Linked DNA regions of Callithrix jacchus. The protein of the gene in region 6 interacts with the protein of the main gene of each other region in a pairwise test. Links are inferred from orthologs where the notes say so. Each region holds a gene or a part of one and is shown on either strand. Other genes may lie near its edges. The genes, in order: KRT15; HSD17B14; CEP70; PNMA2; PNMA1; PSMA1; keratin, type I cuticular Ha8.

Evidence for each region.
Region 1: the proteins of PSMA1 (region 6) and KRT15 interact in binary tests that used the Homo sapiens proteins (3 or more experiments, as listed by UniProt). The two-hybrid records come from large-scale screens. The link is inferred for Callithrix jacchus from reciprocal best matches to the Homo sapiens genes PSMA1 and KRT15.
Region 2: the proteins of PSMA1 (region 6) and HSD17B14 interact in binary tests that used the Homo sapiens proteins (3 or more experiments, as listed by UniProt). The two-hybrid records come from large-scale screens. The link is inferred for Callithrix jacchus from reciprocal best matches to the Homo sapiens genes PSMA1 and HSD17B14.
Region 3: the proteins of PSMA1 (region 6) and CEP70 interact in binary tests that used the Homo sapiens proteins (3 or more experiments, as listed by UniProt). The two-hybrid records come from large-scale screens. The link is inferred for Callithrix jacchus from reciprocal best matches to the Homo sapiens genes PSMA1 and CEP70.
Region 4: the proteins of PSMA1 (region 6) and PNMA2 interact in binary tests that used the Homo sapiens proteins (3 or more experiments, as listed by UniProt). The two-hybrid records come from large-scale screens. The link is inferred for Callithrix jacchus from reciprocal best matches to the Homo sapiens genes PSMA1 and PNMA2.
Region 5: the proteins of PSMA1 (region 6) and PNMA1 interact in binary tests that used the Homo sapiens proteins (3 or more experiments, as listed by UniProt). The two-hybrid records come from large-scale screens. The link is inferred for Callithrix jacchus from reciprocal best matches to the Homo sapiens genes PSMA1 and PNMA1.
Region 7: the proteins of PSMA1 (region 6) and keratin, type I cuticular Ha8 interact in binary tests that used the Homo sapiens proteins (3 or more experiments, as listed by UniProt). The two-hybrid records come from large-scale screens. The link is inferred for Callithrix jacchus from reciprocal best matches to the Homo sapiens genes PSMA1 and KRT38.

What each region holds. Positions count from the first base shown.
Region 1 is NC_133506.1:91,738,016-91,741,966, reverse strand, and holds the start of KRT15 (keratin, type I cytoskeletal 15), read right to left. Parts: upstream 2,801-3,951; 5' UTR 2,710-2,800; coding exon 2,215-2,709; intron 1,099-2,214; coding exon 1,016-1,098; intron 894-1,015; coding exon 737-893; intron 196-736; coding exon 34-195; intron 1-33.
Region 2 is NC_133523.1:42,680,588-42,684,633, reverse strand, and holds the start of HSD17B14 (L-fucose dehydrogenase), read left to right. Parts: upstream 1-1,246; 5' UTR 1,247-1,300; coding exon 1,301-1,388; intron 1,389-1,873; coding exon 1,874-1,912; intron 1,913-2,287; coding exon 2,288-2,370; intron 2,371-4,016; coding exon 4,017-4,046. Other genes in the region: PLEKHA4 (pleckstrin homology domain-containing family A member 4), read left to right, coding at 315-577. UniProt on the Homo sapiens protein: Catalyzes the NAD(+)-dependent oxidation of L-fucose, yielding L-fucono-1,5-lactone, which rapidly converts spontaneously to L-fucone-1,4-lactone. Can also act on D-arabinose and L-galactose, with lower catalytic efficiency. Does not use NADPH.
Region 3 is NC_133518.1:45,829,728-45,833,227, forward strand, and holds part of CEP70 (centrosomal protein of 70 kDa), read left to right. Parts: intron 1-1,755; coding exon 1,756-1,902; intron 1,903-2,075; coding exon 2,076-2,244; intron 2,245-2,423; coding exon 2,424-2,538; intron 2,539-3,500.
Region 4 is NC_133514.1:15,068,845-15,071,982, reverse strand, and holds the end of PNMA2 (paraneoplastic antigen Ma2), read right to left. Parts: coding exon 2,779-3,138; 3' UTR 501-2,778; downstream 1-500.
Region 5 is NC_133509.1:108,629,448-108,633,739, reverse strand, and holds PNMA1 (paraneoplastic antigen Ma1), read left to right. Parts: upstream 1-1,492; 5' UTR 1,493-2,211; coding exon 2,212-3,273; 3' UTR 3,274-4,043; downstream 4,044-4,292.
Region 6 is NC_133511.1:80,384,758-80,388,257, forward strand, and holds part of PSMA1 (proteasome subunit alpha type-1), read right to left. Parts: intron 1,064-3,500; coding exon 975-1,063; intron 191-974; coding exon 120-190; intron 7-119; coding exon 1-6. UniProt on the Homo sapiens protein: Component of the 20S core proteasome complex involved in the proteolytic degradation of most intracellular proteins. This complex plays numerous essential roles within the cell by associating with different regulatory particles.
Region 7 is NC_133506.1:91,819,993-91,824,190, reverse strand, and holds the start of keratin, type I cuticular Ha8, read right to left. Parts: upstream 2,801-4,198; 5' UTR 2,739-2,800; coding exon 2,247-2,738; intron 2,055-2,246; coding exon 1,972-2,054; intron 1,184-1,971; coding exon 1,027-1,183; intron 672-1,026; coding exon 510-671; intron 432-509; coding exon 306-431; intron 1-305.

The DNA.
Region 1 (3,951 bases), on a different chromosome or scaffold from region 6:
GGCAGGGCAGGGCAGGGCAAGGGTCAGGCCCACCTTGCTGAAGAACCAGGCCTCAGCATCCTGGCGGTTCTTCTCCGCTATGGCCTCGTACTGCTCCCGCATCTCCGCCAGCACGCGGGTCAGGTCCACGCCCGGTGCCGCGTCCATCTCCACGTTGACCTGGCCGGCCAGCTGGTTGCTAAACTCCTTCATCTCCTGCAGGGTGGAAGGGGCCCATTTAGAGATGGAGAACAGAAGAGAGACCTGAGAGTCTGCATTCCCACATGCCAATCCTGGCTCTTCCCCTAACACCCCAACCGCTGTTCCCCATTGCACACGAAGAGGTTTGGTCTCATGGACCCCTCAGCTCCGAGGAGCTCTCTGCTGCTCTAGGTCCTACCAAGGGAGGACCCCGAGATGGCAGGCCCCTGATGTGAGCTCACAAAGCCAGTCAGGAAGATAGCCATTCATACTAGCCACCCGGCTTGGCTGTGGTCTGGGCTACTAGGGAACAGTGCCCCTTCCTCTCCATGAGGATACCTGGTTGGGGGCAAGGGGGGTGTTTCTGAACCACTAAGCCCCAGGCCAACTATGAGGAAGCACCGGCAGCCCCACTCTGCCTCCCACAACTTAATCTTGGGAAAATCTGGGAGGGCTTCCTGGAGCCAAAGTCGTTCCCTCTGGGCAATTTAAGTGCGTTTTGGGAAGAGGTTCCCCACCTCTCTCAGGTTCAGGGATGATGGGGGCCACCTCTCACCTCCTCGTGGTTCCTCTTCAGGTAGGCCAGCTCCTCATTCAGGCCCTCGATCTGCATCTCCAGGTCAGTTCTGGCCAGGGTCAGCTCATCCAGCACGCGGCGCAGGCCATTGATGTCAGCCTCCACGCCCTGGCGCAGGGCCAGCTCATTCTCATACCTGAGAGGAGAGAGGGAGGCCAAAAAAGGAAGTGGGAGGGGTCTGGGCCGCCTGAGTCAGAGCCAGGAGAAGACCAAGGAAAGTGGGCAATGCAGGAAGAGTTGAGGGAGGAGGGAGCGCACTTGAGCCTGAAGTCGTCCGCAGCCAGCCTGGCGTTGTCGATTTCCAGGATGACCCGGGAGTTGTCAATGGTGGTGGCCATGATCTGCAGGAGACAGAGTTGGTGCCTAGAGGACTCCTCTCTCTCCCCTGCTGCTCTCTGCTCTGCACCCAAAGCCAGCCCCTCACTAACAGTCACCACCAGCAAACATCTGTAGGGCCTCTGGGGTGGGCAGAGTCCAGCCTCATCTTGAGTGTCCATTTCTTGTTCTGCCACATGCCAGCCTCCTTGAGACACCTGAGGAGCTGCCCTCCTTGTCTCCAGGGCATGAAAGACCAAGGAGGCAGTACTGCCTATGGGAATTGGTAGCCCCAGAGAGTGAAGAGTGAGGTGTAGTCAGCTCTGACAATGACCCTCTCAGAGACACTCCACCAGCCCCCCCGTGGACCAAGTCATGGCCACTGCCTCCTGCACACCTTGACACAGCCATGGATCTGCAGAACATTCCAGCCAGTGGCAACCTAGAGGGCAGCTAAAGAAGGCATTTTGCCAATGAGGAACCCAGTCTCAGGGAGTAAAACGGTGAGTGAGTGGGTGGCAGAATGGGTAATGGGTTCCCAGGTCTCTGAAGCCCAACAGTACTTTTAGCACAAAAGCCCTCTTTACAGGAAAACACAAGAGGCATCTGGGACTCATGAGGCTGCACTCCAATCCTTTTCTTGCCAAAGAGATAAAGAAATACTTTATGCAGAAGCCTGCAGCGTACATGAGGTAGGCAGGGTGAGTTGCTCGTTTTAATTATTATTATTATTATTTTTTAATTAGAGACAGGTTCTCACTCTGTAGCTAGGCCAGAGTGCAATGGCACAGCCACAGCTCACTGAGACTCTAACTCCTGGGCACAAACAATCCTGTCACCTTGGCCTCCAAAGCACTGGGATTACAGGTGTGAGCCACTGCACCCGGCAAGCTGCTCTTTACAATTGCCCCCAACTGTGCCCCCGTTGGTCCTAACCAGATTCCCAAGACCCCTCCCTCCCTCCCCCAACACCAGCCTCTGCACTGGACAGCAGGTGCATTCCAAATTTGCTGAGGCTACACACCAGACAGTCGTTGCCTGGGCAGGAAAGGATTTTCTCGAGTCAGCAGCGACACTGACGTTAGAGGCATGTGCAGGGCGCCAGCCACCTGCTCCCCTCTCTTTGACATCTGAGGACTCACCTTGTCCCGGAGCTCTTCAATGGTCTTGAAGTAGTGGCTGTAGTCACGTTCTGGGCTGGTCGGGGCCTGCTTCTGGTACCAGTCCCGGATCTTCACCTCCAGGTCAGCATTGGCCTCCTCCAGGGCACGAACCTTGTCCAGGTAGGAGGCTAGGCGGTCGTTGAGGTTCTGCATGGTGATCTTCTCATTGCCAGAGAGGAGGCCACCATCGCCACCACCAAAGCCACCACCAAAACCCCCACCAATGCCACCTCCAAAGCCTCCACTGAAACCACTACCAGCCCCTCCGCCAAAGCCACTGCTCATGCCACCCCCATATGCCCCTCCTGACCCTGAAGAGACAAACCTAGCAGAAGAAGCTGAGATACTTCGGCTTCCACCTCTCCCATAGAGACTCCCCCCACCAAAGCCCCCTCCCCTCGCCAGGAGGGAACCCCCTTGGATAGAGCCACCCCCAAACATGGAGGAAGAAGTTTGCAGAAATGTGGTGGTCATGGCCAGGTAGCCAGTGCCAGTGAGTTCTCAACAAGCCCAAGAGATGCTGGCAGGAGGTGCCGGGCCAGGCTGCACTCAGAGCAGGGCATCTGCCACCCCCCAGCTGGGGCTCCTTATATACCCCTCTAAGGGTATTGTGGGACCTGGTCTCCTCCCCCAAAGCAAAGCCAACTCCTTCTGCCTTCCTGACAAACACAGCTGCCTGCACACCCTGAGTGGCTCCTGTGAAGTTTTTCTCTTCTGTTTTTTTTCTAATGCAACAAAAGAGATGATTCAGAATTAATGGTGTTTTCCCCCAGGGCACCGTTTTAACACTTGGATTACAGGTTCATCTCTCCATGCCAGAAGAGAGCAACAGGGAGCGAACGGCTACCAAGGCCTCTGCCTGTACAGAGAGCAGCTCAGGCCAACTGTGCCCTCAGCTGGACTTGTCCACTGCCCCGAGCCCTGAGCTTTTCCCCAAGGGGACAGCTCTGTGTTCTCAGTTTGGGAGTTACCACTTCCCAATCATTACGCTGTGTTATCCAACTCGAAATCCTGTGAGTGAGTGAGTGAGTGAGTGAGTGAGTGAGTGAGTGAGTGAGTGAGGAGGCCTCTGGGAATGGGAATGCAGCGTCTCTGGGGGCAAGTAGAGGACAGAAGCCAGGGTCCAGCTGAAGTGACCAGAGGAGCCAGCATTTGTCCCTTCCCTGGTGTGGGAGAGGGACTCTCCTCCTCCCACCCCTACTCCCCTCCTGCCAGCCTCCAGCCTGTGTCCCTGGCACGCTCACAAAAGCCCAGCAGGCTCAGGGTTGACAAGGGGATGATTGATGATCCCGACACCTGCCAGCTGCACGTCGCTGAACTTTTGCTCGATTCTGGGATGCGTTGGGGCAAACCTCCGCTGATAAGGCTGGGGCGAGTTCCAGGAAGCCCCTGCCTTCTCCAAGAGAGGCATGTCACTGCTTAGCAGGGCCAGATTAGCCCCCATCTGTCCTGTCAAGTGCTGGCTGGGGAGGAGCCACTGCAGAAGGCTCTATGTACCTGAGTGCTGTGGAAGGAAGGACAAGAGGCTGGCAGGCAGGCTGGAAGACACTGGAGATCTCAAAGACCAAGGCATCACTTCACACAGATGGGGGAGTTGAACACTCAGGAGAGCCCTTTTCTCTGCCACCAGCTCAGGAAAACCTTTCCAGGGACACCTGATACCTGTGGGCAATGCCACTTGGAGGTGTGGCTCGGCCCTCTGGACCTGGCCCCATG
Region 2 (4,046 bases), on a different chromosome or scaffold from region 6:
GGAGGGGTCTGGGGGCCGGTGGGAATTTTTTATCTTGGCGAGGAAAGAGTTGGGCAGGGTTTGGGAGTTTTAGGTCTCATTCAAGAGGGAACTGGGTTCTGGGACACTTGAGAGGAGGGGAGGAAGCGGTCGGGGGCGGGGAGAGGGCCGACACCTGAGTCTCAAAGAGGACTGGACTGAGGTATCCAGACTCCTGGGTCTGAAGGAGGAGGGGCCGGAGGCCTGGACTCCCGGGTCTGAGGGAGGAGGGGCCTGGGAATCCGGAGTCCCGGTGCTGAAGTTTGCCATTCTCATGTCCTACTCATCCTCTCCAGGTGGAAATTTGGACTCCCAGGGAGACCCTCTCTCACGTGTGCCGCTCTCTCCGTCGGACCCCACGCGCCAGGAGACCCTTCCCCCCAGATCTCCCCCGGTGGCTAATTCGGCTTCCACCGGGTTCTTTCGCGGAGGCAGTGGGCGTGGAGGAGGCCCCGCCCCCTGGGGGCCCACGTGGGATGCCGGGATCGCCCCTCCGGTCCTGCCCCAAGACGAGGGGGCGTGGCCTTTGCGCGTCACTCTTCTACAGTCCAGCTTTTAACCCTCCCAAATGCGGCAGCCAATTGGAGCGTGAGGACGTGACCGGAGGTACCGCCGCAGAGATGTGGGACCACTCAGGGCATCAGGGGGCGTGGTCTGGTCCCTGTCGCCAGCCCGGGACGGGAATGGTTTCTATGGCCAAAGTTTGGTTTTCTCAACACTGTCTAAATTTGGATTAAAACTTTGAACTTGTAGTCAATAACTTTGTTTCTCTCTGTTGGGGGTTGTGGCGCTGGAGTCTCTGATGGGCAGAGCCGGAGTTGTGGACTCCTGGGTCCTGAGAGAGGAGGGGACAGGGGCCTTGGACTTACAGGTCTCTGAGAGGAAGGGATGGAGAAGCTGATCCCTCAGTCTGAGGGAGGAGGGGCTGGGGGCCTGGACCCCCTGAATCTGAGGGAGGAGGGACTGGGGTCTTAGGGAGGAGGGGAGTGTCTGAGGGAGGAGGGACTGGAGCTCCTGGATTCCTGAGTCTGAGGGAGGAGGGGAGTGTCTGAGGAAGGAGGGCCTGGAGCTCCTGGATTCCTGAGTCTGGGGGAGGAGGCGAGTGTCTGAGGGAGGAGGGACTGGGGACAAACCCAGGTTTCCAGCCTTCCTGGCAACACCCCCCGGGGCCGGACTTCCAGGATCCAGCCCCTGTTGATGGTTTGATGCAACGCTGTCACGGGGCTTTGGAGGTAGACAGAGGCGCAGAGTAGAGAGACGGACAGAGACCGACGGACACGGGATGGCCACGGGAACGCGCTACGCCGGGAAGGTGGTGGTTGTGACCGGGGGCGCGCGCGGCATCGGAGCCGGGATCGTCCGCGCGTTCGGTGAGCGGGGTCTGGCCGCTGGGAGCTGGGGAAGGATGGGGGCTGGGCAATGGCGGCGGAAAATGGAGACCCCAGTAATACAGCTGGGATTCTGACCTTACAAAAGCCCATTTGCAGGCTAAAGTAAGCGCGTGCCGCGGTAGGCTGGGGCTGAGTCTGGCGAGGTCTCGGAGGGCAGTGGCCCCCTTTCTCTGGGTCTGTTAGTGAAGCTGCAATACCAGTGGCTTGGGGAATGGCTCTGGCAGTCGTGGGGCTGGCTCTGGAACCCACGAACGGGGGCTCAGGAGCCTCAGCAGAAACCTGGCCAGGCAGGGAGAGCATGTGTCAAGGGCTCTGCCCTCTGCCCTCTGTCCTGAGGGTGATCATGAGACTGGGGTCACGAGGAGAGGGGAGAGGGAGAGCGACCCCACTCCAGGTGGCCACCAGAGGGCGGCAGAGGCTTGACCCAAGGCTCGGAGGGTCACCTGTTCCCTTCCTATTCTCAGTGGACAGCGGGGCCCAAGTGGTTGTTTGCGACAAGGATGGTGAGTGATGGTCCCTCAGCCCTCACCCCGGCCCTCTTCCCTCAGACCCAGGGGTCCAGGCCCCAGCTGCTCCCTCAGATTCAGGGGGTCCAGGCCTCCAGCCCCTCCTCCCTCAGACCCAGGAGTCCTGGCCCCAGCCCCTCATCCCTCAGATTCAGGGGTCCAGGCCCCAGCCCCTCCTCCCTCAGACCCAGGGGTCCAGACCTCTAGCCCCTCTTCCCTCAGATTCAGGGGTCCAGGCCCCCAGCCCCTCCTCCCTCAGACCCAGGGGTCCAGACCCCTAGCCCCTCCTCCCTCAGATTCAGGGGTCCAGGCCCCCAGCCCCTTCTGCCTCAGACCCAGGGGTCCAGGCTCCCAGCTCTTCTCTCACTGCAGAGTCTGGGGGCCGGGCGCTGGAGCGGGAGCTCCCTGGAGCTGTCTTTATCCTTTGTGACGTGACTCGGGAAGACGACGTGAGGGTGAGCACAGTTCCTGCTCCTGCTCCACGCCTCCACTAATTGCCAGTTCTTTGTTCTCCAGGCATCCGCATATGCCGTTCCCTCTCCTTTTCCTTCCTCTCCTGGCTCCACTGGACCCATCAGAGGTTTCCACCTAGTGTCACTCCACACATAGGTCTTCCGTGATTGGCAAGCAGGTCATGTGTTCCTCATCTCCCACCTCTCCAAGGCTCTTAGCACATCTGACATGTGAATGGAAATGAATAAAAAGTCCCTCAAAGTGGGTCAACTGTAACGGATTTTTCTTTCTCTTTTGTTTTTTTGGAGATGTCACCCAGGCTGGAGTGCAATGGTGTGATATCAATTCACTGCAACTTCCACCTCCCGGGTTCAAGAGATTCTCCTGCCTCAGCCTCCCAAGTAGCTGGGATTGCAGGCGCTTGCCACCATGCCCAGCTTATTTTTATATATTTAGTAGAGACAAGGTTTCACCATATTGGCCAGGCTAGTCTCAAACTCCTGACCTCAGGTAATCTGCTCACCTCTGCCTCCCAAAGGGCCCCCAGCCCCTCCTCCCTCAGACCCAGGATTCCAGGCTCCCAACTCCTCCTGGGTTGGAATTCCAGGTGTGAACCACCGCACCTGGCCTGTAACCGATTTTTCTCCCTTGTTTCTGTTTCTGGGTTCCGATTTCCTCCTTTTCATTTTCTTTCTTTTTTTTTTTTTTTGAGAGGGAGTTTTGCTCTTTGTTGCCCAGGCTGGAGTGTAGGGGTGCCATCTCGGTTCACTGCAACTTGCACCTCCTGGGTTCAAGCCATTCTCCTGTCTCACCCTCCCAAGAAGCTGGGATTACAGGCGCCAGCCACCACAGCTAGCTAATTTTTGTATTTTTAGTAGCAACAGTGTTTCACCATGTTGGCCAGGTTAGTCTCGAACTCCTGACCTCAGGTGATCCACCCACATCAGCCTCCCAAAGTGCTGGGATTACAGGTGTGGGCCACTGTGCCCGGCCCCTATTTCTTCCTTTCAATCAGTATCTCTCTGTTTCCTGCCCCACTTGGGTAACTGTCTCCTACTCTCTATCTGAACCCTTGTCAACCCCCACCCCCTGACCTTGGAATGATGACTGCACTGTGGCTCTGACCAGCTCCCTGTCTCCTTCCTGTCTGCTACTCGCCTGCCATGTCTGCTGATCTCGGCACTCCCTCTTCCTCTAGCTCTTGTCCCCTGAGCTGGGAGTCCAGCTTTCCCCTCCTGCCTTGCATTTGGCAGCCCTGTCTGCCTTATGGCTGGACACCTCATCTACTGCTCATTCAAAGGACATTTCCTGGGTAAGGTGTGGCGCCTGTAATTCCAGCACTTTGGGAGGTTGAGGTGGGCAGATCACCTGAGGTCAGGAGTTCGAGACCAGCCTGGCCAACATGGTGACACCCCCTCTCTACTAAAAAATATAAAAAATTAGCCAGCTGTGGTGATGCCCACCTGTAGTCGCAGCTACTCAGGAGGCTGATGCAGGAGAATCACTTGAACCTGGGAGGCAGAGGTTGCAGTGAACCAAGATCGTGCCACTGCACTCCAGCCTGAGCAATGAGGAAAAAAAAAAAACAAAACCAAAAAACAGAAAACAAGAAAATGAAAAAATCAAAGAAAATTTCCTTCCTCCTCAGACTCTGGTTTCTGAGACCATCCGCCGATTT
Region 3 (3,500 bases), on a different chromosome or scaffold from region 6:
GAACATCTTTTTCTTAGCTTTGTAATACTCTTTTATTCTGAAGCAAAAATGTATTAGATTGGGTGTGCTTTTTTCCATAAATTACTTTATAAATGTGCCTTGTAGCTGGAGCATTGATTAATAAAGGGGTCATTATGCTGTTGCTTACTGACTTTTTTTTCCTCCCAAATTCTAGTGGCACTGATTGTAAAACATTCATTTGACACAGAATGTATTGCTGTGAATTACTAAAATAGGTAACTGTCTTCCTACCAAACGAAAGGTTAAAGATACCAATATGTGAAGTGTGAGCCTTAAGTGGAGAGTGTCAAGTGAAGTACTAAAATAAGTTCGAAAAAGGAAGAATTTCTTGTACTTCTTTCTGTTCTCTAGAGCTGTGCTGTCTTGTATGGTAGCCTCTAGCTGTATGTGGTTATTGATCTCTTGAAAGGTGGCTAGTCCTAATTGAGATGCGTTAGAAGTATAAAATATACACTGGATTTAGAAGACTTCATATGGGAAAAATTGAAATATTGATTTTATATTGAAATGATAATATTTTGGATATATTGGGTTAAATAAAATATTACAGTTAATATCACATGTTTCTTTTCACTTTTCATACTATGGCCCTAGACAACTTAAAATTACTGTGGCTCACATTACATTTCTTTTGGATAGCATTGTTCTAAAGGACTAAGCACTGTTCCATACATATATGAATTGAGTATCCCTTATCTGCAGTGCTTGGGGCTAGATTAAGAATTTTTTCAGATTTTGGAGTATATGCCATTTGAGCATCCCTGATCCAAAAATCCAAAATTCAGAATGCTCTAATGAGCATTTCTTTTGAGTGTCATGTTGCTCAGAGTTTCAGATTTTAGAGCATTTCAGATTTTTGGATTAGGGTTCAGTAAGTATTTGTCGACTGACCAGTCTAGAATGCTAAACTTCCAGTAGCCTTGCCCATTGTGCACAGTTTAAAATCACTTAGGGCATCACAGCTAGGACAAGAAAACAGAGTATTGTAAAGTAGAATACATTTAGAGAACCTTTCACATTGAAAACCTGCCTGGAGGTACATGTTATAACATTATGCTAAGTGAGAGAAGCCATTCATAAAAGACTGCTTATTGTATAATTCCATTTATGCAAAATGGCCAGAATAGGCAAATCCATAGACACAGAAAATAGTTTAGAGGTTATCCCCTGGAGCTGTGGGAAAGGAAAAATGAGGAAGGAAGGACTGTGAGTGGGTCTGAGATTTCTTTTTGGGGTAATGGATATGTTCTGAAATTAGATAGTGCTGATGTTTGTACATGTGTGAAAATATTAAAACTGAATTGTATACTTAATGAGGGTGAATTTTATGGTATCTGAACTACATTTCAATAAATCTGTTATTCAAAACTAAAATACAAGGGCAAGTTTATTCTTTATGTATCAACAATTCAAAATAACAAAATAACATGAAACAATAATAAATAATATAAAATTACTTAGAGCACCCAAATGCAGAATAATCAATATGTAATGTTTTCTGTAAAGCCTATGTTTACCTGGAGAAACCTAATTTTAACTGACTTGTTCTAAATTGGTAATAGTGTTATTAAAAAATACCAATGATGGTTACATATATATATATATTTTAACCTGCCTATATAATGTTTTATTAATTTTATAAAATACATAAAACTTATAATTTTATTAATTGTGTTATATTACTATAGAAATTATTTAAATCAATAATACCATATAGTTTCTTTTGTTATAAAGGATTTGTATAAGTCCTTGAAAACACTATCTGCAGAACTGGTACCTTGGCATAATCTGAAGAAGCAGGATGCAAATGAAGGTATCAAAGTTGAAGATTTGTTATTTATAGTAGATACTATGTTGGAAGAAGTTGAAAATAAAGAAAAGGTAATAATACTTACATAAATGGTCACATTCTAATGTACTCTTATCTTAAAAATTGATAATTTGATGTGGATATTAATATTTGTTCTACAAGAGTTCTGTTTTTCTTTTAAAAGTTTTTATTTGGGATTATTTTAAGATATGAACTCTTTCTTTTTTACCTCTCTTTTGGACAGGACAGCAATATGCCAAACTTTCAAACTTTGCAAGCTATTGTCTCTCACTTCCAAAAATTATTTGATGTGCCTTCTTTAAATGGAGTCTATCCTCGAATGAATGAAGTTTATACTAGGCTTGGAGAAATGAACAATGCTGTGAGAAACCTCCAAGAACTCTTAGAATTAGGTGATGACCTAATTTGTCATTTTTGGCCCCCATTTAAGAATTGTTTTTAATAAATTAACAAAAAGTAGATAAAATTTTTCTTAAGTAAAAAAAATTGAGGATAACTGAAGCATAAAATGTTTGATGTATGTAATTTTGGAAATTTTCTGTTGAAATATCCTTTTATTTCTCTTTTGCAGATAGTTCATCTTCATTGTGTGTGTTGGTAAGCACTGTTGGAAAACTCTGTAGGCTGATTAATGAAGATGTGAATGAGCAGGTTATGCAGGTATTAGGACCTGAAGACCTCCAGAGGTACTCATTTCAAAAGTTTACAGAGTATCATCCAGAATGGCCAGGTGTGGTGGCACACACCTGTAGTCCCAGCTACTTGGGATGCTGATGTGGGAGGATCACTTGAGCCCAGGAGTTTAAGTCCAGTCTGGGCAACATAGTGACAGCCTGTCTCTAAACAATAAAAGAAAAAATAAGTATTGTCCAGAATTCATGGAGGGGTGAAATTAAAGACTTTCAAAACTCATTTACCTTCCCTATTTGGAATAGCATCTTTTCTCTGTGTGTGTTTGTGACTGTAGGCACACACCACCATGCCCAGCTAGTGTGTGTGTGTGTGTGTGAGTGTGTGAGTGTGTGTGTGCACGTGTGCAGGTAGAGAGACAGACAAGTTTTCACCATATTGCCCAGACCAGTCTCAAACTCCTGGGCTCAAGCGATCTGCCTGCCTTGGCCTCCCAAAGTGCTGAGATTACAGGTGTGAGCTACTGTGCCCAGCCTTGGAATAGCATCAATTTTTTTTTTTTTGAGACAGAGTTTCGCTCTTGTTGCCCAGGCTGGAGTGCAATGGCGCGATCTCGGCTCACCGCAACCTCTGCCTCCTGGGTTCAGGCAATTCTCCTGCCTCAGCATCCCGAGTAGCTGGGATTACAGGCACGCGCCACCATGCCCAGCTAATTTTTTGTATTTTTAGTAGAGACGGGGTTTCACCATGTTGACCAGGATGGTCTCGATCTCTTGACCTCGTGATCCACCCGCCTCAGCCTCCCAAAGTGCTGGGATTACAGGCTTGAGCCACCACACCCGGCCTGGAATAGCATCTTTTAAACAAGTTGACAACCTAAGATAATCTCACACCCTTTGGGACGAGAAAATGCCAAGTATTTAAAAAATAAAAATAGATTGTAGGGCTTATAAAGGTCAGGAACTCTTCAGCATAATCCTGTTCTCAGGAAATATTATATATGGAGAAGTTCAAACCT
Region 4 (3,138 bases), on a different chromosome or scaffold from region 6:
GAGGCTGAGGCCTAAGAATCACTCAAATTTGGTAGGCAATTTGCAGTGAGCCATGATCGTGTGACTACACTCTAGCCTGGGTGACACCTTATCTCAAAAAAAAAAAAAAAAAAAAAAAAAACAGGGAAAAAAAGGGAGGGACTTCAGCCTAGAAAAGCAATATTCTGCCTTAAGGGTCATTCACCCTAAGCGGAATAGAGCCTGGGAATTTATCTGTACAGTTATTTTCCTAAGCAAATGAGTTGGCAGTCTCTGAGAGACCTGGCCTCCCTCTGTTGTTTCTATCTATTTTAAAAGAGAAATCAATAATGGGGGACTGAGCTCTCTCTTGTCTTACTCAATCATTTTTTTGCTTTCAGGTTTTCTTGCCTAGGGGAGTTCAAGACATTTGGCTTTAGCTTGATTTTTCAACTTATCTCTCAAAAATTTTCAGTGATGGAGCTCCTTCTTCAAGTAGTAGTTTGTACAGGCCACGATTTACGAATCAGAAAAACTCAGGATTCTATTAGGATATATTTATTTTATAACTTCACATTTATAACATTTTACTTTGTATACTGTCAAGAAATGACAAGAGACCACTTTCATAAATACAAAAACACATGAAATCAGAGTGTCACGGTAACAACTGTATCACTTTGGTCAGACAGTATTAAAACTACAATTTAGAAAGATAATTGATCACAAATGATACCTTTTAAAAAATGCTTTTCTTACAATGTCAGGATATTCTTTAGATAAACCAAACCACAATCAGAAAAAATAAGTGACTATTTAAAAGTCAAACCTCTAACAATTGTCAACAGCTGCTGGAAGACTCATCACAAATATAAAAACAACAAGCTCACATTTACAGTAAGAGCAGAAATGGTTTCTAACACCAAGGTAGCCTGGGAGTCAACTGGGAGCATATTAACTTGTTAGCACACAACTGTTGGAACAATAAAGAAGGCATGCATTGAGCAGATAGGAACATCACGGAAATCTTAGTGTCAATGTACTGAGGGCTTTCTGTGTTCCAGATGTCATGCGAAGTGATTAAAAAGCATTGAGTCATCTGATCCTCCTAACAACTGTGTACTCTCATCTTCTAATTTTTCAGAGGCGGAAACTGACGTCTATCTAGATAAGCTAAGCAATTTACTCGCAGTATGCGCAAATCTACCACGAGACTATACGTCCATTGTGTTGGAGCTTCGCCTAGCACGTATAACTGAATGGTGCGCCTCTGCACTGCACTCACACACTTACGTGATACATGACATACACAGGTCTCATCTAAACACCCACGTGGTGCCACTACTTTTAAATCTATGAACAGTTAAAAGAAGTTTGGATACGTACACAGATACCATGAAGGAAGCTTTGCTCCAAGGTCTACACAAAATGAGCCAATCTGGAAACAAAAGCAAACCTGGTGGTGAATGCTAATGTGCCCAAATTTGGTTATCAGCCCATTTTAATCTAGCTGTTATTCACTAGAAAGTCAAAGACTTTAGGCTGGGTGCAGGGGCTCATGCCTGTAATCCCAGCGCTTTGGGAGGCTGAGGTGAGTGGATCACTTGAGGTCAGGAGTTCAAGACCAGCCTGGCCAACACGGTGAAACCCAGTTTCTACTAAAAATACAAAAATTATTTTGTATTTTTCCAAGGCTGGGGACTTCTTGAAAGCAGAGCTTAGGTTGAGTCATCTGTGTCTTCAGGGCCTGACACAGCACCTAGTTCTGGGACCATCTATCTGACACCTGACCTGTCTAGACCATCTTCTCATGTAGACTGGAACCACTCTGAGGGCAGGGCCCATTTTGTAGGTTTATAACTGCTCGACTGCAGGTTAGAGCTGTAGTCTTGTAACTCCTCGTACAGAGAGAGAATTTCTGGACTCAGAATTTGCTGATTTGAGAAAGGAAAACAGCTGACAAAGTCAAATAGCTTTATTTTTCAAACATAATTACAAAAGGTTTTTTTTGTTTGTTTGTTTTTGACTGCCAATTCTTTCTTCTATGTATGGTATGGGCCAACTCTAGTCTACTTGGGATTACTTAAAGAAAATTGGAAGTACAAGTGTTTCAGATTCCTTCAGATTTACTATCTAATATTTGGAGTCTAATCTCTTGTTCATTAATAATCTACATAGAGTCTAAGAAACTCGTAGCTATATTTTTTTAAAAAAGAAAAATCAGGGGCTGGGCATGGTGGCTCAGGCCTGTAATCCTAGCACTTTGGGAGGCTGAGCTGGGCATATCGCTTGAGCCTAGGTGTTCCAGACCAGCCTGAGCAACATAGTAAAACCCTGTCTCTACTAAAAATACAGAAAAAAAAAAAAAAAAAAAAGCTAGGCATGGTGGTGCATGCCTGTAGTCCCAGCTACTTGGGAGGCTAAGGTGTGAGGAGCACCTGAGCCTGAGCCTGGGCAGTCAAGGCTGCAGGGAGCCAAGATTGTTGTGTGTCTGCACTCCAGCCTGGGTAATGAGAGTGAGACCCAAGAAAGAAAGACAGAAAAAAGAAAAATATGAAGGAGGGAAGGAGGGAAGGAAGGGAGGGAAGGAAGGGAGGGAAGGAAGGGAGGGAAGGAAGGAAGGAAGGAAGGAAGGAAGAGAAAAAAGGAAGGAAGGAAAGAAAGAAGGAAGAAAAAAAGGAAGGAAGGAAGGTCAATAATTGGGTTTCATGCCTTGATATCAGTCCCATACATTAAAGAAAAAGATTCTTTAAAAGTCTTAGCCTAGTAAGGCGCATGTCCCTGGGCCCACTGGCTGTGGGTCCTGCACTCAGGTGGTTTTCAGTCCTCCCCCTCATGATCCCAGCGGCCATAGCCATCTCCTACCTCTGGCTCTTCGATATTCTCATTCTGAAAGGAGGCCTCTTCCTCCTCCTCTTCCCGTATTACCTTCATTAGCTCAAGGAAGCTGGGGGGTGGGCCCTGATCCTTCATCTCCCTGAGCCGACACCACAGCGTCTGGTTAAGAGTGGCCCCAGCCAGGACCTGCTCCAGGCGGACCTGGTCCGCGATGCGCCGCGGGATGGCGCGTTTCTCCACCGCTCTCCGGAGCAGGGTTTCTAACCTTAACACATAGGCCGACACCTTCTCTCCTTCCTCCTGATAGGTCTTCAGGTACCTCACCTGGGAGGTCCTGCGGCT
Region 5 (4,292 bases), on a different chromosome or scaffold from region 6:
CTACCCCTTCTGCCTCGCCCCTCTCCACCCCGGCACCAAGTCTTTTGCTGCTTATGTCTAAAGGGATCGCCTATATTTAACTGCCTCAGTGACCTATCCTCTTTCTTCTCATGTGCCAGATGTTAAGACGAAGGAGGAATACAACACATACTCAAGCCTCAGCTGTTTAGTTGTTTTCACTGGGGCTCGCTTTTCTGGGATGGTATATATTATCAGACTGGCAAGCCTAACTCCATAGGTTTACAGGAAGTAGGCATATTTTTATAAAACAATTGTGTCCTCCCCACATTTTGCTATGTTAATATTTGCCTCTAACAATTTGCAGCTGTTTCACTTTTTCCTCATTTGTCTCTAAGTTGAAGGCCTTGTTGGAAGGGACAGCACAGGAACAGCCTTGACAGTCTGTAATTATTGTACAAATATTTTAATAGCATATAAATAAGTATATTCCTTTTATTTTGAAACAAATGATCAGACACTGCCTTTTTTGTGTTTGCTGCCTGTGGCACCCTTTTTTAAAAAGACTGTTACATATTAAAATAGTGTACATATATATATAAATATTACCTCTTTTGCTGTACAGTTGTGATAGAGACTGAAGATTTTATTTTTTGTGTGCTTTTTATAAGAAAAAAATTAATACACTAAAGAATCTTGCTGATGTGATTGTAATGTACCTATGTAACTTATTTACTTTTGAATGTTCTTCTGTATCTTTAAACCTTTTATTAAATAAGGTTTTAAAAATTCAGAGTTGCATGCTGTGTTCTCTGGGATTTTCACCATCTGGGATTGATGTAAGTGGGTCTTGTCTTGCTTGCACAAAGATTACTCAACATTTTCGAACCATACGGATTCTCTTTTAGCAGCCTATTGTCAATGATGCCAGCCAGGAAAAGGGAAATAACATATTAATGTTTACCTGGCTAAAAGATGACTGAGTAGACATAGACAAACATCTTTTTTACAAAATTTTAGACAAGAAAAAGGCAACTCCGTATCTTACAAAAATATACGTAAATGGCACACGCCGACATTTTGGCTGCGTTGGGATGAAATATGCAGGGTGCAGAGTGTGGTTGGGGGAACAGGGAAGCTACGGTTCTGAGGATATTCTCACGTGCAGGGTGGACTGGCTGAGCAATCTGAGATGAGTCCACCATGAGGGATGCATTTCCAACAATATCATCTTAAGTCCACTCCAGGATTGGGTTATTTTTAAAATACGGTGCTTAGCAGTCTTTGTTCTCTGTTTAAAAAAAAAAAAAGAAGAAGAAAATTACGCCATCAGAGAAACAGGTGCCCGGGGCACCATGGTAACCGCTGGACTCCGCCCCACCCCCACTCCCCCGCCCGCGGTGGGCCGCCAGAGCAGACGAGTCTCGTGCAGGCTGAGAAGCCGTTGCCATGGCGACACCCGAGCGGCTCCGCCGCGGGGGCGTGACGGAGTGGGGCAGACGCCGCTCACGGGCTGGCCCCACCCTTCACTGCTGCAGTAACATCGCCGCAGGTTGCGGGTAGGACACTACGTCTGGGTAGCAGCGCAGTGCAGATCGTTGCGGCCGCCGCTGCTCATCCTCTCTTCTGCTGTCTCCAGCCCAGCTTCGCCAGCTCTCCTGCTCCTCTGTTGCCTTCGTTTCTGGTCCTCGGCGGTCCTCGCCACCCTCCCGGAAGAGTCCCTGCTCCTGCCAAGAAGCCGCTCTCAGCTGGCCCGCAGCCGCCGCGACTTCGGCACAGTCTGCCTGTGCCGGGTCTCCCAAACGACCTCTCCTCGCCCTCGGAAGACCGGGCTGCGACCGCGAACGCCAGATCCTCTCTGGGAGCCGCCGCGAGCGCCCGACGACCACACCTCGGCGGTTCTCGGCCCATCGCGCCTGCCTTCGCCGCCCGCCTTCGCTCCTTGCCCGCTCCACGACGACGCGACGCCTCGGCTGCTGGCAGCGGACCCGGACCCGGACCCGGACCCAGACGCAAGATGGCGACGGCTGCGTGACTGCCTCAGCGTTTCCGAGCTCGTCTCCAAGTGCGTCCACTGACTGACTGTGGGGGCAGGGAAGGGCGAGGTCAGGACTCTGTGTCTTTGTTAATCGTGACTGCGTGAAACTCGCCTCCCTTGGGCCTACTTGGGGGGAGTGTCTGGCGTTGTTCTAAGGCCAGGAGCAAGGTGAGCCACTGTCTGTTGGTAGAATTAGCGTCTTGATAGTTGACAAAATGGCGATGATACTGTTGGAAGACTGGTGCAGGGGAATGGATGTGAACTCCCAGAGAGCTCTGTTGGTCTGGGGCATCCCAGTGAACTGTGATGAGGCTGAAATCGAAGAGACCCTCCAGGCTGCGATGCCCCAGGTGCCCTACCGAGTGCTTGGGAGAATGTTCTGGAGGGAAGAAAATGCGAAAGCAGCCTTATTAGAGCTCACTGGCGCTGTCGATTACGCCACGATCCCCAGGGAGTTGCCGGGCAAAGGAGGAGTCTGGAAAGTGTTCTTTAAGCCCCCGACTTCCGATGCTGAATTTTTAGAAAGATTGCACCTCTTCCTAGCTAGAGAGGGCTGGACCGTGCAGGATGTTGCCCGTGTCCTTGGGTTTCAGAACCCTACTCCGACCCCGGTCCCAGAGATGCCAGCAGAGATGCTAAACTATATTTTGGATAATGTTATTCAACCTCTTGTTGAGTCCATATGGTACAAGAAGCTGACACTTTTCTCGGGGAGGGACATCCCAGGGCCTGGAGAGGAAACCTTTGATCCTTGGCTGGAGCACACTAATGAGGTCCTAGAGGAGTGGCAGGTGCCAGATGCAGAAAAGAGGCGGCGGTTGATGGAGAGTCTTAGAGGCCCCGCCGCTGATGTCATTCGCATCCTCAAGACCAACAACCCCGCGATAACTACTGCCGAATGCCTGCAGGCGCTTGAGCAGGTGTTTGGGAGCGTTGAGAGCTCTAGGGATGCCCAGGTCAAATTTCTGAACACTTACCAGAACCCGGGAGAAAAGTTGTCTGCTTATGTCATTCGTTTGGAGCCTCTGCTACAGAAGGTGGTGGAGAAGGGGGCCATTGATAAAGATAATGTGAACCAGGCTCGTCTAGAGCAGGTCATTGCCGGGGCCAACCAAAGCGGGGCCATCCGAAGGCAGCTGTGGCTTAACGGGGCTGGGGAAGGGCCGGCCCCAAACCTCTTTGAGTTGCTGGTGCAGATCCGTGAGGAGGAAGCCAAGGAAGAGGAGGAGGAGGCTGAGGCCACCCTTCTGCAGTTAGGCCTGGAAGGGCACTTCTGAGTCCCAGGAAAGGCAGCTTTAGTGCAGACCCAGATCACAGCTACTGTCCTTGTCCCTGTGGGGTCTTACAGATGTGTCTGAGTAGTAAAGGCTTAGTCCTGTTACATTTGTTTTTGGAGGGCAGGATTTGTCAGGCCTGAGTATTCATGTAACATTCTAAAATTGTGCACGCAAGCACTGTGAGCTGCTAGCGGATCTTGCTGGCTACAATGCCGTTTACCTGGTTGGACACAGAGCTTAGTGCACGCGGTCATCATGGCCATCATAATCAGTTGTGAAAAACGTGTGAACCTGTGACACTTCTATTCCACGTTGAATGTGAAATTGCATGTTCAGATGTTTACTGCGGGGCCTGGCTCACAGGAAGTGTTCAGTAAAAGTGTGAACTGTTAGATTACTGATATTGTGGATAGTTTTCTGTCTACCATAACTTGTTCCAGATTTTATTAATGGAAGGGAATGTGCATTTATTATGACTCAACCTTACAATGTAAACGTACTATTTCTCATCTTTAAACATGTGGATCAGTTTAATTGAAAAGTATTCTGATACTGCAAAATGGGATGTTAAAAACTGCAGTTACGGAGCTGTGTAACCCATTTTTCACTGCATAAGATACAGATGTAAATTGCATGGAGAGGTTGATGTGCACCTGTTAGAGTAATTCACTTCCCCAATTTCAAATCTTTGTCAGAAAATAGTTCTTGTTCATACTAATTCTGAGTGTTCTAAATTTGAAGTTACATACAGAAATAAAAATGTTTTTCGATTTCTGTTGTCTTCTCCTTTTGCTGGCATGTACAAACATCTTTAGCCTAAGTAAACTCTGTCCATTTTTCTTATGAAGACTGTCATTAACTCAAACCATATGTTTTACTTACCACAGACACTCAGCATGTCTTCACCCACTACCCATCATTCACAGAGCTTTCCCCTCCATTCCCACCAGCATCAGGTGCACACTCACCCACCTCCTACGCTCTACACATTCACTGCCATCTCCCACTCAGTACTCCCA
Region 6 (3,500 bases):
CATATCCTACAAACAGAAATAAATACACCACATAATTATTTACTTTGGTTGAGCTAAAAATTATAAAAATTTCTAGTTAGTTAAAAAAATCATTAAAATATAATAATCAATGAACTTACATCATAACCAGCAATAAGCAGCCCAACACCATAAGGTCTCCGGCCATATCGTTGTGTTGGTATCTGGGTCTCTTAGACTAGTTAAGAGCTTGTTTTAACAAGGAATGAACTATTCTTTACTTTCTTTTTTTTTGGTGGGGACGGGGTGGAGTTTCACTTTTGTTGCCCAGGCTGGCACGATCTTTGCTCACTGCAACCTCCACCTCCTGGGTTCAAGCAATTCTCCTGCCTCAGCCTATTGAGTAGCTGGGATTAAAGGCATGTGCCACCATGCCTTTTTGGTATTTTTAGTAGCGAGGGGATTTCTCTATGTTGGTCAGGCTGGTCTCGAGTTCCTGACCTCAGGTGATCTGTCTGCCTCAGCCTCCTAAAGTGCTGGGATTACAGGCTTGAGCCACTGTGCCCGGCCTATACTATCTTTATTTTCAAAGTATACATTATTAACAAAGGTTTCTGGCTTCTTCCTTAATTGTTGCATAATCCACCAGAGAAAGAATAAAATAGGATTCTCTATCTTTGGCCTAATATAAAATGTTTGCCTTTCTACCAAATCTAAGAGTGCCAGCAAAATAATTCTTCCCAGGTAAAACTTGGGATTTCTTGGGACATCTAGAACCATTGAGAAACTTTAAATCCCCTCTAAAAAGATGCTTGGATAATTTCCCTGAAGTTGGGTTTATTTATGTCTAGCAAATATAAATTGCTTATACAGGCTAATGAAAGAGCTACCCAAATTGTTTTAAAGTTTTCACAATCTTACCTATGTCATGTTATTATCATATTCCTATGATAATTAACACAAATATCAAAACGCTTCAAAGTTCATATCCATAAATATTAACATAAAAAGGATACTGCTTCCAATTAGAGATACAAGACGTGACACAGGAAGTGGTCTATCAAATACAAATCTGGAATCCAAACACTCCTGACGCATAAAATTACTGAAAGAAACAAAAAAAGTTTAGTAATCTCAAATTACAAACAACGATTCCAATCTAAATTGTTTGATTTCACTTTGCATTCTTCCAAGCGTTTACATGGATCACAACCATATAATGAAGACAGAAGGTAAGAAAGACATGCCTGCGGGGGCACATTTTTGTGTCAAACTCTGGAGCCACATAAAGTTTTTTGTTGTTGTTGTTTGTTTTTGAGATGGGGTTTCACCATGTTGGCCAGGACGGTCTCGATCTCCTGACCTTGTGATCTACCCACCTCTAACTCCTAAAGGGCTGGGATTACAGGCATAAGCCACCACGCCTGGCAAGGTTTTTAAAAAACACTGAAATATTTTTTAGCTCTAGGAAATATTTGTCTTAAAGCACTTACAGAACAGAGAAGAGAAGGTTGAACAAGAGAAAAAGAGTAATCCCTCTTCTCTTATCCTTACCACTGTCAACAAGTTTGTCTTAATTCTAGGTCTTAAACCAGCATAGAGTATCTACTCTGTCCTTTTTTCTTGAAAGCAGACTAACATTTCCCCAATAGAGCAACTGTAAAAAATAGAAATCACAGCAGAGGGCATCTTTACATGTACCTGCCACTGTTACTTATATTCATAAGAAGCACTCTAGAGGAGATACTGGACACTAGCCGCTGAGTCTCACCATTAAATCTGATGAAATTCAAGCAAGGTTACCATTGGGGAAAAGAGAATTCATGCCTATAAAGATCAACAAGAAATGAATATGCCCCTTTCTTTCAATGTTGCTTTGTCCAGCATATGTGTACATCACATCTGATCATCACATGTTGACTACAGGAACCAAGCTATTTGTTCAGTATTTATATTTAAGTCCATTTCCCAACACTGTCTAAAAGTATACTGCCCAATATGGCAGGCAATAATTGCATGTGGCTGTGGAGCCCTTGAAAAGTAGCTATACTGAATTGAGATGTACTCCAAGTACAAAATAGCATGTCAAGTTTCAAAGACTTAGTACCTAAGAACGTGCAATAGCTCATGAATGAAGTTTTCATGTTGATTATGTGTTGGCATGGCAATACTTTATAAACTGGGTTAAATAAAGTGTTTGATAATATAATACATTTTCCACTTTGAGGAGTAGGTGGAAACCCTTTAGGGTGTCATTATATTGCTAACTTAGAGCAAGGGACTGGTTGAGTAACTTTAAATTCTTAAACAATGGCATCACTATTTACACTGCTTTTGCTGCTGCTGTTGTTTTAGACTAAAGTCTCACTCTATCGCCTAGGCTTAAGTACAGTAGCACTATCATAGCTCACTGCAACCTCAAAGTTATGGACTCACCCAATCCTCTCACCTTAGCCTTTTGAATAGCTAAGAGCAACAGGTACGCGGCCCCACAACCAGCTAAGTTTTAAAATTTTTTGTAGAGATGGAGATTCGCTACATTACCCTGGTCTCAAGTTCCTGGCCCTAAGCTTCTCAAAGAGCTGGGATTACAGGTATGAGCCACTGTGCCAGGCCCACCCTTATAATTTATATTATTTCTTTCCTAATCAAATTCACAAATTTAAGAGATTGGTTTTGGCTAACTACCTGCCACCCACAACACACTCACATAATACCTGAAAAGCACTGTGTTAATGCTTTACAGTAGGCTATTTAAAATAATTAAAAATAGGCTGGGTGCAGTGGCTCACCCCTATAATCTCAGCACTTTGGGAAGCCAAGGTGGGTGGATCACCTGAGGTCAGGAGTTCAAGACTAGCCCAGCCAACATGGTAAAATCATGTCTCAACTAAAAAATACAAAAATTAGCCAGGCGTGGTGGCAGGCGCCTGTAATCCCAGTTACTTGGGAGGCTAGGCAGAAGAATCACTTGAACCTGGGAGGCAGAGGTTGCAGTGAGCCAAGACTGTGCCACTGCACTCCAGTGTGGGCAACAGAGTAAGACTCTGTCACAAAAAAAATAAATAAATAAAAAAGTATTTTAAAATAGCTTTGATAAAGAAAACACTGGAAAAAAATTCAGTGTTTAGGTATTTAGCCCAATCTGATACTAAGTGGTGAAAGCGAGAACTCAATCTGTCTGATTTCAAAGCCCTACCTCTTCATTTACGGATTGCCTTTCAACCATAATCTGTCTCCTCAGACTCTCACAGAAATTTATCTGTTATAAACTAGATTTGAATTTATAGATAAACTTGCCTTTAAGTTCCTTTAGACAAGATCCATTTCTGAGTCACTTATGCATACCCTGCAATATCCAGTATTGAGCATTGCAAAAAAAAAAAAAAAATGTCTACTAAATACTGATGTATTAAAAAAAACAAGTACGGTTCAGCTTGTCCTTAGAAACCAGATAAAAGTATCAAGCTCTTCTTAGACATAATATGGTATCAAACAATATACACTGCATTAACAAATATATTACTGAGTGACTTGTAAAA
Region 7 (4,198 bases), on a different chromosome or scaffold from region 6:
CTGCCCCCAAAATTTAATTGGCTTCACGTTATTCATCTCTATATTTGCAATACCCCCAAAAAAATTAGAACTCAGTAAATTTTGGTGCATTTAATGCCTTTTCTTAAATATGTTTTAAAAGAGAGATTGTTTTGTTAAGCTGTGTTTCTGAATTTGACCTGATCTTTACAATAAAGACAAAAAAGAAATTCACAATCAACGAGTTTGCAGATGGGAGAAACCTAGATAGTGAGACCTACAAAATTAAATGCTATCAGGCCGTGGCACGTGGCGTTTGCAGTGCAGTGAGGGTGAAGGACACGTACCAAGGTGTGCTGGGCTTGGCGCTCCACCTCCAGGGCGTTCACCGTGCATCTCAGCTCCAGGATCTCCGACTGGCAGCACTGAATCTCCTCAGAGCAGGACATGGCCTGCAGGCTGATGCCTTCAGACTGGAGCACAGAGAGGCACAGTCACCTCCCTGCCCAGATGGAGGCCAGATGTCCCCCGGCTCTGTACCCCCTGCTCACCTGGGCTTGGAACCACTGCTCCGCGTCCTGGCGGTTGGTCTCCACCATGGCCTCGTACTGAGCCCGCATCTCCCCCAGCACCCTGCTCAGGTCAATGGTGGGCTCAATGTCCAGCTCGATCCGGATCTTGTCCCCTAGCTGACTCCTCAGAGTCTTTACTTCCTGCAGAAGGGAGGAAGGCACAGACAGTTTGTGTGAGGAGAGGGCCTTTGATGGAGCAGACAGCACCAGGACCCCACCCCTGGCAAGCAGTAGGAGGGGAGCCCCATACACAAGCAAATGGGAAAGTCTTGCCCAGAGTGCAGTCGGGAGAGCCCACCTGGATGCCTTCCTTGTGCCCAAGGCAAGTCTGCACCTTCCACAGAGGCCCTCTGAACCCTCAGACCCACCTCAGCCCTGCATGCTGATGCCAGCTGAGCCCAGGTTCTGCTCTGAGAGCCCCAGGGCCAGGGAGCTCCCCTATCTGCCCAGCACTGCCCGCCCCCCACACCAGGAGTCTGAGCGGCCAGGGCTGTACCTGCTCATGGTTGCTCTTGAGAGAGAGCTGCTCTTCCTTCAGGGACTCCTGCTGGGCCTCCAGGTCGGCCTTGGCCAGGGTCGCATCATCCAGGAGCTTCTGCGTACCACACATGTCCGCCTCCACCAGCTGACGCAGGGAGCGCTCACTCTCCAGCCTTCAGTCACAGGAGGTGCAGGGTCAACAAGAATTCCACCAAGAGCCCCTCTCGGCTGCCCCGGGTTCCCACCTCCCACACCACCTTGGATCCTCATTTGTTCACTCTGTTTAGCTCTCTGGCCTCAAAGGTGAATTAGACACAGCCCCTCTTCTCAAAGAGCTGGTGGTCTGATGAAACAATCACAGCACTACATTGCACAATATACATTTTTGCCATTGTATTCTGTGGCAGCTGCGGTTCACTAAGATCAACTGAGTTGCCTAAGATCGTGTGTCTTGGGACCCAGTCCAATGCTCATTCCATTGCAGTGGCCGTCAGTTACCAAAGATAAGCAATAGCCAGGTGCCCGGTTGTGATCCACAGCTCCTTATCCCTTGCTTTCAACTGTCTTCCCCTCTGGTTTTTTCCTAAGTATCTCATACCTAGTACCCTAGGACTGCATAGTTAAATCTGGACGAAGACTCATCTATGACTCCTCTGACTTATATATGAAAATGAATGGCTGTCTTGCTCAGTTTATCCTTGAAATCACCTCATTTTGCTCCTGGCTAATGAATTTAGGCTGCCTCCATGTTAGGGAAATAAATGAAGGAGGAAAAACATACATGGTTGGATTAATGAAGGGTTTTCCCTTCCATCTTCTATCCATTTTGATTGTAATGAAACTTTTACTGGGGAGAATCTAGCAAGGGAGAAAGGACAATGATTCACTCACTCAACAAGTATTTGGGCATTGGGATGGAGGATGGGGAAGGAGTCATCCTGGCCTCCTGCACCGGACTTACTTGATCCTAAAGTCATCGGCAGCCAGCTTGGCATTGTCGATTTGTACAATCAGCCTGGCGTTCTCAGCCTTGCTGCACAGGATCTGAGGAAAACAGGAAGATGGTTCACACACAAAGCATCGTACCTTAGGCTCCCACTCCACGTGTGGTGTCTATGCTCATATCCAAGAGAAGCCAAGAACCCAAAGCTCCCTGAGCCTGACATGGATTCCTCCTGCCATGAGAAGCCGTCTGGCTTCTCAGACCCAGCACGCCCAGGCGTTCCCACACCTCACCTTCTGCTGGAGCTCCTCGATGGTGCGGAAGTAGGACTGGTAGTCGGGGCACACGGTGGACTCGTGGCACTTGCTCCTCTCACGGAGTTGGCTCTCTAGCTCCGCGTTGTCCCGCTCCAGCTGTCGCACCTTCTCCAGGTAGTTGGCCAGGCGGTCATTCAGGAACTGCATGGTCTCCTTCTCATGGCCATTCAGGGTGTTTTCACCATAGGCCCCACAGATTCCGATGTTGCCGGGAATGTGGCAGGTCCCTGGCAAGGGACAAGCAGTGTGGCAGGTGGGGGGTAGACAGAGACTGGGGCGGCCCAGGGGAGTCGACCCCACACGGACTCGGTTGGCATGTGCCACATTGGCCAAGAGGCACATGGAGGCAGCCTTGGCCTCTGCCCCGGGCTGGCACCCAATGTCGATGGGAGAGACGGAGGCATTTCTTGCTCCAGGACCCATGGTGCAGCCCAGAAGGCAGGAGGAGCTGCTGTAGGAGGAGGTCATGGTGTTGGGCTGAGGTTGCACAGGAGCTTCAGATCAGCTGGAAAGGCCAAGTCACTAAGTCTGAAGCCTCTTCTCCTCCCGGCCCTTTTATACCCCATCCCGGGTGGGTGTTGGCTCCAATGCTTTGACCTCCTGCCTTGATTATCTGTTGTGGTGCCATCATCCTGTTACTCAGCTGCTGAGTTTACCATGAAACGTTTCTCAGCTCATTAAAGGAATGTTGACGAATCTGAGATGCCTCTTGGCTCTTTGATATCAGGTTGGCTTTTGGTGGGGGGAGTCAGAAGCTTTTTATTATTTTTTAAAGAAACCAAGTTATTTTAGCCATCAGATGCTTAGACTTTGACAGGGTTTGGCCTCTTCATGGATTTGTCCACTCCAAAGGCACAAATTTTCCTGTTGGTCAGTGGCGTAGCAGGACTAACCCCTGTGATGACAGTGGTGCTCACTTGGGTTAAGACTCAACCAGCCTTCCCTATCCAGGGAAGAAACTGAGTCTTGGTATTGGTGAATGTTATGGTGTTAAATTGGGTTATCAAGACATCCTACATTTCTTCTTTCTTTAGTTGGTTGCCCTTCAGACTCACTTTGAGGAGCAACAAGACTTAGACAAATCTGTTCACAACACACATCCCCTGGTTACATCCTGAATGCCAGGCACTGTGCTGATGCTTGGCATATAGTTGGTTAAGCACGGAACAGTTCCTGCCGTTGGGAAACAACTGTAACTTGTGTAGACATGATGTCTCAAACAAGGCATCTGAGAAGCTCGTGAGAATGAGGATGACTCCGAAAACTGTCATTTATCTTGACCAAACAGGGCAAGCTCAAGAAGCCAGAAACAAACAAAAAGAAATGAGCAGTAATCTTACTGAACCTCAAATAAGGACGTGGCCATGAAAGTAGGAGGAAGTTGCGTGATCGGGATGTTGAGTGGGCCCTCTTCACGCCTTGCCTCCTTGGTTCTAAAGTTAGTTATGAACCTTCACCCTATGTGCTAGGGGATTGAGCAATGACACCTTTTCATCTCTGCTTCCAACCTGGGAGGTGGGTACTCTTAATTTTACAACATAAATAAATAAGCCATTGAGACCAGAGATGTAAAGTCGTTTTTCTAAGATCAACCTCACTATAAAGTATGAAGCCCTGGGGTATATGTGCAGATCGTGCAGGTTTGTTATGTAGGTATACACGCCCCATGGTGGCAGTTTGCTGCATCCATCACCCTGTCATCTCCTAATGCTATCCCTCCTCAATCCCCCCACCCCCTGCTATTCCTCCCCTAGCCCTCCACCCTCCCAGGCCCCAGTGGGTGATGCTCCCCTCCCCCGTGTCCATGTGTTCTCATTGTTCAACACCCACTTGTGAGTGAGAACATGTGGTGTTTGGTTTTCTGTTCCTATGTCAGTTTGCTGAGAATGAACTTAAAGTATAATAAATAAATTTTTTAAAAATACAAG